Linked DNA regions of Neurospora crassa OR74A. The protein of the gene in region 1 binds, or shares a complex with, the protein of each later gene. Links are inferred from orthologs where the notes say so. Each region holds a gene or a part of one and is shown on either strand. Other genes may lie near its edges.

The links. Proteins that work in one complex are often made in the same cells at the same time.
Region 2: NCU05523 (region 1) and NCU05423 share a complex: the UniProt entries of both Schizosaccharomyces pombe proteins name them as parts of the 7-subunit TFIIH core complex. The link is inferred for Neurospora crassa OR74A from reciprocal best matches to the Schizosaccharomyces pombe genes tfb2 and tfb1.
Region 3: NCU05523 (region 1) and NCU01580 share a complex: the UniProt entries of both Schizosaccharomyces pombe proteins name them as parts of the 7-subunit TFIIH core complex. The link is inferred for Neurospora crassa OR74A from reciprocal best matches to the Schizosaccharomyces pombe genes tfb2 and tfb4.

What each region holds. Positions count from the first base shown.
Region 1 is NC_026506.1:1,624,970-1,629,033, reverse strand, and holds NCU05523 (transcription factor tfb2), read left to right. Parts: upstream 1-1,277; 5' UTR 1,278-1,625; coding exon 1,626-1,749; intron 1,750-1,833; coding exon 1,834-3,215; 3' UTR 3,216-3,549; downstream 3,550-4,064. Other genes in the region: NCU05522 (PaaI thioesterase), read right to left, coding at 20-189, 270-335, 454-634, 700-715, 785-825, 883-921. UniProt on the Schizosaccharomyces pombe protein: Component of the general transcription and DNA repair factor IIH (TFIIH) core complex, which is involved in general and transcription-coupled nucleotide excision repair (NER) of damaged DNA and, when complexed to TFIIK, in RNA transcription by RNA polymerase II.
Region 2 is NC_026502.1:1,591,226-1,595,376, reverse strand, and holds NCU05423 (hypothetical protein), read left to right. Parts: upstream 1-1,350; 5' UTR 1,351-1,750; coding exon 1,751-3,742; 3' UTR 3,743-4,056; downstream 4,057-4,151. UniProt on the Schizosaccharomyces pombe protein: Component of the general transcription and DNA repair factor IIH (TFIIH) core complex, which is involved in general and transcription-coupled nucleotide excision repair (NER) of damaged DNA and, when complexed to TFIIK, in RNA transcription by RNA polymerase II.
Region 3 is NC_026502.1:3,029,973-3,033,760, reverse strand, and holds NCU01580 (transcription factor TFIIH subunit Tfb4), read left to right. Parts: upstream 1-1,267; 5' UTR 1,268-1,586; coding exon 1,587-2,906; 3' UTR 2,907-3,268; downstream 3,269-3,788. Other genes in the region: NCU01581 (hypothetical protein), read right to left, coding at 3,269-3,788. UniProt on the Schizosaccharomyces pombe protein: Component of the general transcription and DNA repair factor IIH (TFIIH) core complex, which is involved in general and transcription-coupled nucleotide excision repair (NER) of damaged DNA and, when complexed to TFIIK, in RNA transcription by RNA polymerase II.

The sequences.
Region 1 (4,064 bases):
AGGTTGACTCTCATGACTTTTACTCCACATCATCCTCGGCAATCACAGCTCCCTCCGGAGGCGTGAAGAGCTCAGTCCCATTTTGGGACTTCCAGGCGTTGGCGACATACTTTGTATGACTACCACGGGCACATAGCTCGCCCTTTTGGTTGCGGAAAGTGACGGTGGTGTAGGCAAGAGTCTTGCCCACTGTTTGGTTGTTGATGATGAAGGTTAGTCATGTCAATAATTCATGTTGCTGATGCAAAGGGGCAGGAAGAAAGACTTACTCTTGTCACACACAGCGGTCCCGGAAATCTTCTCGCCGACTTTCCCACCGCTACTAAGGTAGGTAACTGAGTTTTTTCATATACATTTTAGTATTGTGTGTTTGCGGAAAGCAGCACATAACTGGGCTGGAGTTCTTTTGTCCGAGTAGGCATGAATCAATCTCATGGAAGGAAGGAAACATACCGTTCAGATCCGTCGACACACCGGTGGCGTAGAGTCCTTTCGAGGCTACAGCCAGAGAACCACCAAGGTCAACCATGCTGGCGATGGTCCCGCCGTGGATGATCTTTAGACGGTTGGTGTGGTCTTTGGTGATGTCGAGTTCAAAGTCGACCTTGCCTTCGGTGGCACCGGTTACCCGGAGCTAGTTTGGTCATATCAGTTACATGTTCGTTGTATCCATGGAATTTTGTGGTGTCTTTTGCCTACATGAGGTCCGAGGAGTCTGTAAAATTTGGTCAGTCTCATGTCTTGATCTCTTCTTGACAGACCATGGTGATGTGTCATCACTTACCTCGGCTCAAGGCCGGACTCGGCCATGAACGACTTCAGGACCTAACATGCTGTAAGCAACCGAGTCAATGCAGCTGTGAAATGAGTTCCTGAACTAACCGATCTCACGAATCTCGCTGGTGGAAGCTTGGGTGCCATTTTTTTGTTGCTGTTGACCTCGAAATAGGAGACGATGTAAGAGGGATACACGAGGTGTGCTTCAGATGCGGTGTCTGGACTACCTCTAGGTGGACTTGGGGACGGAACACTGCTGTGAATGCCGGAAATCACCACCCGGGACAGGCGCTGTTACAGTGGCTTTAGAAGCAGACTGGCCGACCCGGGAGACGGTAGACAAATGCCGGACAGTGGAACGGTGACGTCGTAACAGGGACTGGTAGTGCCTGCCACGAGGGTCCGAAGTCCCCACTTATGCTTGGTGACCACCTGCAAGGGCACCACGGGGCAGGCAACCTATCCTCGCGCGCGTACAACGCAATGATCATCAACAGCCTTCAAGGTCTTCTTTTGCACCTTATGCCTTTCACCCACAAGTGCCACCGGCTACACCATTATCGCTCGATTCCCTGGGTACCTACCGAATAAACATATACTCGATTCATCATAAATCACACTTCCGTCGATATAACACTTTCCACCTAGAAGTTGGTTTTGGTCCCCATATCTGCCAGCAGAAGTCAACCAGTAGCATTACATCGTGATCCTCTCGACGAGCCATCTGGACTTGACGACATTCGAAGCACTACGTTTACCGAATATTCGACTTGACCTTTCACATTGCCATTCACATAGCGATAACGAATCTCTATTAGCGGCCCGCTGTGCCCGCCCGTCTATCCACCATGTCACTCGGCGGACAACAGCTCCTCGAGTACTTGGAGAAGCTGCCAGGTACAGCTTTTAGGAGACTGTACCAGTCACCAGCGACAGCTTTGGCCATCTTCCGCCGTATGCTGTCTTATCATGGTATGCAATTGTTCCTCGAGTCAGATACCGAAGTCTTGGACGCCGAATCTATAGCATGTAGCTAACTCCTTTGTCCCTCGATAGCCAAGGTTATTGTCCGAGGTCTACTGTACATGCCCGACCCATTCCCGTTAACCTCCCTTGACATATGGTTCCCTCCAGAGGGCGGCGGAAAGATACATCGCGATCGCACCATTGCCGCTCTCCGATCCCTCCACATCCTACAGGTCTCACCACCAAGCAAGGACCGAACCCAAGAAATCCAAATCACGGCGAGCTTCAAGAAAGGCCTACAACTAGCCTTCGAAGGGGGCGGCGAAGATGGCAGCTTTGGCGTCCCTAGTTCTCTTCCCGTCGATCCCTCCATCGACATCGCCTACCTGGACAGGTACGCTCGTAAGAAGTGGGACGACATCCTCCACTACGTTGTCAACAGTCTTGGGGTCCACGGCAGCTCAGAAGGGGTCAGCGGACCCAAGGCCAGTGTGAAGGAACTACTCTTGGCCGGACGCCTCGTCGAACGACGTCCAGACACCCGTACAGGAATCGGAATTACGCAAGCCGGTTTCACCTTCCTTCTCCAGGAGTCCAACGCCCAAGTATGGACGCTCCTCCTCCTCTGGCTCGAAGCAGCCGACCACACGGCCGACTCGGGCATGGACAGCATTGACATGCTCTCCTTCCTCTTCATGCTCAGCTCGCTTGAGCTTGGAACTGCCTACGATACTTCGGCCCTGACCGAGACGCGGCGGAATATGCTTCCCTCGCTCGTCGACTTCGGGCTCATCTACTTCCCGCGCGACACGCGCCAGTTTTTCCCTACCCGCCTGGCCACCACACTGACCAGTACCGCCTCGGCCCTGCGCACCGTCTCCTCGGCTTTCACGGCCGCAACCGCCAACCCCTCGGGCGAGCCCGGCACCACGACCAGCACCAGCGGCGGCCCCGCCGCCACCCCCGACAAAACACAGACAGCAGCCAAGGGCATCATCATCGAGACCAACTATCGTATCTACGCCTACACCACCTCCCCGCTACAAATCGCCGTCCTGGCTCTCTTCTGCCAGCTCAACATGCGTTTCCCCAACATGGTCTCGGGCCGCCTAACCCGCGACTCCATCCGCCAAGCAATCGGCTTCGGCATCACCGCCGACCAAATCATTTCCTACCTACACGCGCATGCTCATCAACAAATGGTGCGCGAAGCCACGGTCACGGGTAAACCGGTGCTTCCCCCGACGGTGGTGGACCAGATCAGGCTTTGGCAGCTGGAGAACGAAAGGATGCAGACCACGGCGGGCTTCTTGTTCAAGGACTTTGAGAGCACGGAGGAGTACGCGGCGCTGAGCAGGTATGCGGAGGAGATTGGCGTACTAGTGTGGAAGAATGATAAGAGGCAGCTCTTTTTTGCCAGCAAGCATGAGCAGTTGAGGGATTATTTGAAGAGTCGGAAGAAGGGGGAGTAAGAGGGGCAGGTTTGTAAGAGAGGGTGGTTTGGATTCGGGGGTGGTTCAGTATGGTTGGAATGAACCCAAGTACCTAGGTACCTCTTGTGGGTGGATGCAATGGGTAGGCGATGGGGTCTTGCATCGTAAAACTTTTACATCTGTGGGCAGGGCAGGATCAACATTTGCATTGAAAAAAGGAGTTCTGGCTTGGGTGGGTGGTTTGGCATCACGCAATTACTAGCTTATACTGTAGACAGGAGTTGGGGGTAAGAAAGGGCCATGTTCAAAATACGAGGTAATGGTCGCCTCGAAATAGGGATGACCTCTTACAAAACAAAGAACTCGATTTCATATGATCATACACATGCAAACCTCTTTTTGACATTCGATTGAGAACAACGCTTCAAGTCATCGGGAGACGTACTATACGAGACCGAAGAGATTGGAAAAAGGGTGCTCGAACAAAATCAGCCTGCTCACTGTGCTACACATCTTTGTGATATACACCTCTTGATACGCCATCCTAGCTGACAGGGCTCAATGACAGGAGTATTGGCGAGGGACTGATCATACTCGGCGGCAATTGCACCTGTACCGAAACTCAAAGTTTGATCATTGAAAGAAATGTCAATACAAGACTAACTACCATTTATTTGCGTTACCATTATGAGGTTCAAGGCATCAATGAATGCCAGAACTGCCCTCTACAACGCCGGACCTTTGCCTCTTACCCTGGGTATGTGAAGCGGTAAGATGAGGTCGGAAACCGAGAAAATACTCTATAGAGAAGTCCGACCATGCCTGTTACCATGAATATCTAGAGCGAAATGACTATGCTCTTGTTCTGTAGTCTCTTCCATCACTCCA
Region 2 (4,151 bases), on another chromosome or scaffold:
CATAGCTTTAACATTGTGGAGCCGGCGAAACTGGGTGGAGCTACCCAGCTTCTCGCACTGGGAACAAATACATCGAAGACGCCCGGGACCCAACAAACTTGAAGGGGACATCAATGTGAGATTCTCTCGGTACCTCCATAGCCGCAAACTCGCCTACCTTCAGTTATTTACTGCTCAGTCTGCTACATACCCATACGTAGTAGCGTACACAATGGAATACACGAAGAGATATCATATCCATCATCTACTCGAATCCGTCCTCCCTCTTGTTGTTTGTCCAAAAGTCACGACGGAGTTCACGGTTCGAGCGGTGACCACGGTAACAGCAAGCATAACCGGAAGTCGTGGAGTTTCTGTGGTTTCAAGGAGGGGGACGGGAGCTGTGTCTCCATGACAAGTCATCGGGCACGCAGCAAACTGGGAAAGTGTGGAAGAGCTGGAAGTTACGGTCTGGAGAGTGCTACTGTAATTATTTCATTACGCATTGGCTCCCGCACCTCCCGTCGAGACTGGAGTTGGAGGCTCCGAGACCTGACCCGAGTCCCTTTTCCCCGGAAATCACGGTTCCCGTCTTTTTGGACCAAGTATCCAATCTTACCGTGGAAAGTGGGGAAAACTTCCATGTCCGAGGTGGAAATGTACGGTAACGCTTTCGGTCCCATCTTTGAGCGCGAACTTTTCGAAGCTTTCGCTTGGGGCATCGAACTGATGGAACTGCGCTAGACATGGTCTGGTCGGTATCCTGGGTTATGGGTTTGGGTTCAATTAGCTACTTGGCACTGACCGCCTTGTGACTTGCCGTAGTATCATGTGACTTTTGCAAAAGTCATTTATCAAATCCATTTTGTCAAAGAAGAGACAAGCGAACCGAGTCTAGATCTCGTCTCGATCTCGTCTCGAGTGGTTTATCGAAATGACTTTGAGGTTTGGCTGTTGGTTTCGATTGTGTAATTCACTACAAAATCCTGCATCGTCAGCTGCCACCTTCAACTTCTTCTTCATTATTGAGCCAGTTGCAGCATTGACTGCACGTCACAGTGTTAAATCCCCCAACTCTCATTGGCTGGCCGTGACTGGTTCGCTGCAGTGCAGTTGCTGTTGTCCAAGCTCTGCGCTGGCTTCAGATCCTTGGCATTTCCCACCCACGGCACCTGCAGCAGTTCGTCGCCCAGAGCTCAGGTCCTGTGGTGGCCAGAGATCCGACCTGGGTGGACAGCTGCCGTGACACTGTCTGTCGGTTCAAAGTGGAACCTTCCCGAGCTGAAACCTGAAGTTCAAGTTCTTTACACTAGTTGAACAGCCCCAGGGCGACCATGGAATTGTTAGTAGTCGTGCTCCACTGCAGCCTCAGCTGCCGCCTGCCTGCCTGCCACGCATAAACTACCTACTACACTATGTAAACTCACCACCCACTCACCATCCCGCAACGACATCCGCAGCAGCCAATGCCTCACCCCGGATTCAAGACTGACGGGACCTGGATTAGATTTGCTTGGCGTTACTACACTACATCACCACGTCCATCATCGTCTAATGCCGTGTACCTTGACGACTCTCCCGTCTCTCTTCGATATCAGTAAGGCGTAGTACACGAGCACGCTGTGACATACGTATCGCGTTAATACATCCTTGTCAAGGAACACATTGCGAGGCTGGTCCGTCTTTATAACATCAAAAGATTGGGAACTGGGCATTGAGCGTGGACTTGAGATATTCAACGGGCGGTTAGGGAGAGGACTACCTAGCCAACATGGCCCCGATTGAGATTCCCCGGGGACAGGCCTCTTACAAAAAAAGAGAGGGCATCATCACATTAACCCCAGACAAGACAGCCCTGATATGGAGCCCCTTGCCGGGCACTGGCCCACCCGTCATCTCACTTTCCGTATCCAACATCACAAACCTCCAACAGACCCCCAAGACGAATCCCAAGGTCGTCTTGAGAGTCGTCGAGAAACCCAAGGCGCCCGGAGCCGATCCGGCTGCCTATCCCTTCCAGTTCACACATGCCACCGAGGCCAGGAATGAGGCCGATGCCATCAAGGATCTTCTCTCTCAGATCATTGCTGAGCTTCGTGGCGATGACCCTTCTCTACCCAAGCCGGCAAAGTCTGGCCCCAACGGCGCCGGCGCCTCTGCCGCCATGGCCATGGCCAGTGCCGTGAACTCGAAGCATTTGCCGTTTCGCTGGTTCGAAGACGACATGCTAAAGGCCGATGTAGAACTTCAGCAGTCCCTCATGAAGAAGGATAAGGCCTTGGCCCATATATATAACGACGCAAAGCTGTCCAAGCCAGATTCATTATCAGATGCCTCCTTCAACAGCCAGTTCTGGGCCACCCGCATCAGCCTGCTACGTGCCTATGCCATCGAGCTGAACCAGAAGAAGGGCTCATATAACGTCCTATCAACCATCAAGCCCCGGACCGAGAACGGCGAGCTCAAGTTGAACATCAACCATGAGCAGGTCCAGCTCATCTTCCAACAACACCCACTGGTCAAGCGCATCTACAACGAGAACGTCCCCAAGCTCACAGAGTCCGAGTTCTGGTCCCGCTTCTTTCTCAGCCGTCTCTCCAAGAAGCTCCGCGGCGAGCGCATCACCGACAATGACAACACCGACCCCTTATTCGACAAGTATCTCGAAGCCGACAACACCATGGCAGTCCCAGCCAAGATCACCGCCACGAGTGTGCCCCCCATCATCAACATCGAAGGCAACGAAGAAAACCAAGGTGGCTTCAGGGGTGGCAACCTCAAAGACGTCGAGATGCGTCCGCGCGCCAACATCCCCATCATCAAAACGCTCAATTCGCTCTCCGAGAAAATCATGGCCAACGTCGCCCCCACAGACGTCGACCCCTCCGCCGCCTCCTACTCCAAAGACGGCATCGCCGACGCCCTATCCAAACAACTCGCCCTGCAAGACCTCCGTGGCGACGCCGAGGCCCAGCTGATCCGGCTTTCCGTCAAGGACACCTCCACCTTCTTCACAGGCAACCAGCCCTCGCTCACCGACCAAGAAGCCGCCGACGCGCGCCTCTACGCCACCCAAGTCCCCTCGGACGTGCTCTTCGAAGTGCAAGCGGACATGGACACTCTCGACTCGGACGGGCGCGGCGGCATCGATCTCCACCGGTCCATCGGGGTCGATCCCGACTCTGACGACGAGGGTAATAACTCTCTGGACTCTAAAAGCGGACCCAAGCCCCAACACGTCGGCTCCCGCGCTGCGCTACGGTTCGCCCAGAACCAGATCCTCGAGAGCATGAAGTCCGCTCGGTCGCACCTCACCACCACCACCACCCACGGTGGCTCGCACACCACCACCACCAATGCGTCCGAAGAACGACCCATGTCGTTGCCGACGGACATTGCCCACCGCGCTACGCTAACCTGCGCTACGACCGCCGAGTTCCTGAAACAGTTCTGGACGGTGTTTAATAACTCCAGCAACAGCAGCCCAGAAAAGCAGCAAGAATTGGCCTACCTGGCCGACTCGCTCGTGCGCTCGAAACAGAGAATCGAGGCGCTGGCTGACGAAGCGGAGAAGAGGAGACAGGAGATTATGGAGAAGCGGAAAAGGGAGATTAGAGAGTATTATCAAAAGACAGGCCGCAAGGCGAAGTGGGTTCCCGTTGGAGGGGGCAGGGATGCGGTGTGGGCGGCTTTTGAGGGCGTGGTGGGCGGGTTGGAGAGGGCTGTGGCGGTTTGGGAGATGGTTAAAAGTGGGAGGATCTGAAGATATGAGGAAAGACAGTGGCAGAGGTGCGTTGTTAGGGGATGGATGTTGTGCTGTGCTGTGTGGAAACGGGAGGAAGATGGGGAGGATGACTTTCATGAGAGGAGAAGTGATAGAGGAGGATGACATTTGGGAGCGTTGCCATGAACGAGAAAAAGTTTCAAGTATATATAGAGGACAGAAATGGCCCACAAGACAGTAAGGCTGGGATAATTTGGGTTAGGAGAAGGAGAAACAGACTGACTATAGTCACATTAGGAATTATGGCTGAAGACCAATGATGAAAAAAAGCATTAAGAAATTTTCAAGAAAGCAAACTGGTTCTGGACTGATGTGTGATATCTAAAACCAGACTCTTAACACTTTCCAAAACGAAGGTTCCGGTATTCTCAGATTACATCATGTAGAT
Region 3 (3,788 bases), on another chromosome or scaffold:
AAGCAGTAGGGTTCAGAGACTTCACATCACAGGGTTCGTATGTTTGTGCCGAGCCTCCATTAACGCCGGTCCAGGGGTGACTCCATCGAGCTTCGGCACCGCGGCACCGTCATGTTGGACTATTGATTTATAGTTTCCTCCGGTGCGTCGGCATCTTGCTCGAGATGACCACCGGGAAGACTGTTTGTCATATTGCCGTTACTGGTCGAAACAAGCCAGCGTCCACTTTGTCCATAGAGAGACGACCGCATGAGTTCCACCTGGGCTCGGCATATTCATGAAGAACTAAGTTGCCGTCGTTCTGGAAGGTAAATTATTGTCTCGGAAGACAAGTTCGCTTTTCTGTTCTTTGATCTGGAAGAGCTACCGGGGTTATAATGTCGCCGGCCTTGAAAGATTCCTGTGTCTACTATGTATGAGTGAAGGGTGTTATAAGATCGGGAACTTGAACAACTTACCATAGGGGAATATTCGGTGGTGGTTACAGTGCTAGAGGTAGATAATCGGGAGTAATCAAGGCAGTTACATATTGCGAGAGCATGGAAAGAACAATGTCTTAAATTGAGCTTCAGTTTTGTCTATTCCTTACCTACCTGGCTGCCCCTTCCTTAGATACTTGTACTTCTCTTCCTCAAAACCTCACAATACCTATCGATGATAGTCTTGGCCATAGGCTTCCAACGTAAAGCTGTCGTCACCGGGGTAACCCCTAAGCCAATAAGAGCCCGACTACAGACCAAGGACACCTTGAATTGCACAGCCGGTGACTTTAAGCCACTCTCGGTTGACAGTCTTGCGCCATCCTTCTAAAGGAGATCCTCGTACGATATGTGAATAAACCGAAAAGGGAACATGTGATGGTGTGGATGGATCAAAGGAAAAAGATGACCTCGCTGTTGGTGTCAAAAGTTATGCACGCTTGCGTGTTCATCACCCGGCTGTTTTGGTGGTAATGCTGGGGTCGTTGAACTAGAATCGGACACAGCAGGAAGAGAAGAATAAGATGAGAGATGAAGGACATGTTCGGATGAAGGTGATATCATTGTACATAGAGGAGCTAGGATATCTTGACCAATAGGAAAGCGAGAACTGGACTACATCTGTATGTTTAACTGCATGTTAGTGCTCTAACTGCATATCTTTTGACCACTAAGGAAAATGCCGGCAATCTGCCTTATCGGGTATCACGTGGTAGCGTGTGCACTTGGACCAGGATCCTTTGGCCTTCACTTGGATCGCGTTTCGCTTGCAACCCCGAAATCGTTATCGCATTTCTCCGTTACGTTATCGCATCTGCAGTGTTCTCGACGAGAAGGTCTTCTTGGGCGCGTCAATCCTATTCAGCAGACATAACCAATCCAGACAACAACTATAACGAATATCACACAACAGAGCGCCCGCTTAGCTATCCTGCCATCTCTCGATCCAGCATCCAGACAAGCTCCCTACGAGCACCGGCGCACTGAGTATCGCGGCGACAAAAGGCCTACGTCATGTACACCAACTGGCTTCGATCCACGATATAGCTCTACAACACACACAACCTTGAAGCGAGTTGAGGCTGTCCCTGCCAGATCATCGTCAAGATGACGGTCCAGGACGCCGTCGACGCCTCCGAACACTACGAAATCTACAACACCGATGATATCCCCTCCCTTTATACCATAATCATCGACACCAACCCACGCGCCTGGGCCGCCCTGAACGATGTCCTCCCACTCACGAAAGCGCTCGCCAACATTCTAATATTTGTCAACTCCCACTTAGCCTTCAATAACTCCAACCAAGTAGCTCTCATAGCATCACACACGAACCGGGCAGTATGGCTCTACCCAACAGCACCCGACCAGAACCCCGGCCGACACCCGCAAAATCCAAACGAAGACATCGAAATGCGCGACGCCTCCTTCACAAGTAAACAACAATCTCCACCGCCCGCAAACAAATACCCCCTCTTCGCCCAAATCGAGCGCTCCCTCCTCTCCTCCCTGCGATCTCTCATAACCGACACCACAACCGAGGACATCACCTCTACAACCACCACCCAGATTTCCGGCGCCTTGACCCTCGCCCTCGCGCACATCAACAAAACCGCCCTCCTCTTCGCCCCCTCCAACTCCGCCACCGGCCCAACCCCCTCCTCCGCAGGCGGCAAGTCCTCCGTCTCCACAACCTCCGGCGCCGGCCCAGGCGGCGGCAACGCAGCCTCCCTCCCTGGCATCGGCGGTGGCGGCCTGGCAGGCCTGCACGCCCGCATCCTGGTGGTCAGCGTAAGCGACAGCTCCCCCTCGCAGTACATCCCTACCATGAATGCTGTGTTCGCGGCGGCGCACGCGCGCATTGCCATCGACACGCTGGCGCTGCGGGGTAGTGCAACGTTCTTGCAGCAGGCGAGCTATATTACGCGCGGCACGTTTATACGGGCGCAGGAGCCGAGGGGACTATTGCAGTACTTGATGTTTGGGTTTGGAAGCGGGAGCGCGCCACAGGGGTTGGCGGCGGCAGGGAACCAGCGGTCTCAGCAGCAGCATGGGGGACATAAGGGGAAAGAGGACAAGGCGAGCGAGAAGGCCCTTGGCGCCGCGGCCAAGGGAGGGGCCAAGCATGGAGGCCAGAAGTTTCTGGGGAGTAATGCTAGCGTGGCGGATCTGTTGGTCACCCCTAGTGCGGACTCGGTGGATTTCCGGGCGGCGTGTTTCTGTCATCGGAACGTGATTGATACGGGGTTTGTGTGCAGTATCTGCTTGAGCATTTTTTGCGAGGTGCCCGAGGGTGGGGAGTGTTTGACATGCGGCACCAAGTTAGCGTTGGGGAATTACGGGAGGAAGTTACCTGTGCTGCCTTCAAAGGCTGCTGCTCCTCCTGGAGGGGGGCAGGCGAATGGGAAAGGGACGATGCTGAAATAAGTCTTCAGCGAGGTATGGAATAGAGTGAAGAGGTAACTGATGGTGGATGATTCTTTTGTCCTGGGCCGGGGAACCAGGCAGTCAAGAGGCTGATTAGAGACTAGGGAGTGGTAAAGCCCACAAGATTGCTCGTGGGATGTCTACCGAAAGCGGACAAAAGGCTTGGAAAACTACATATACACATAGAGTCTGACATGCAGTGCTAATACCCATAAAACAGCTTTTATTGCGAATATCACTTTACTGGACATGGATTCCCACTATAGGATTCAGCCATCGATACCTGTTATTGGGGACATGTCTAGTCATTATCCATCGTTACATCATGCTCCCCCGACTCGCGTTCAACGTCCACCGTCCATTCATAACTCATCATCAGACTCAGTCTCACTCCCCTCATCTACTACAGCAGCAGGCTGAGACGCTCTCGTAGCCGTCGCCCCGGCCCTCTTAGTATGGGAAATGGGCGTTAGCGTCTCCTTTCCCTTTCCCTTTCCTACAACAGAAGCCGTCGTCTTTTTCTGAGGGGTTGTCGTCGCTGTCGAGGATGCCGCAGCCGTGCGTTGTCGTCTAGCAGGCGGCGGTGAAGGAGGCGGCGGCACATCAAGATCCTTGTCCCCTGCTTCTACAGTCCCATCATCCTCCTCATCGGGCTCACTGGCTGTTTCGTCATCGTCGTCGCGGTCTGGGGTGTTGCGGTCAGATGTCTTATTGAGGACCTCATCTTCGTCCTCGTCGTTATCAGTGACGTCCTCGTGATCGAGGGTTTTGCTAGAAGATGATTGTCCCATGGTGGTCGTCTTTGATGATGGTTCCGGCTCTGATTCTGGCTCAGGTTCCGGCTCGTCGACATCCATCTTTTCGAATTTTGCGTGGTCGTTG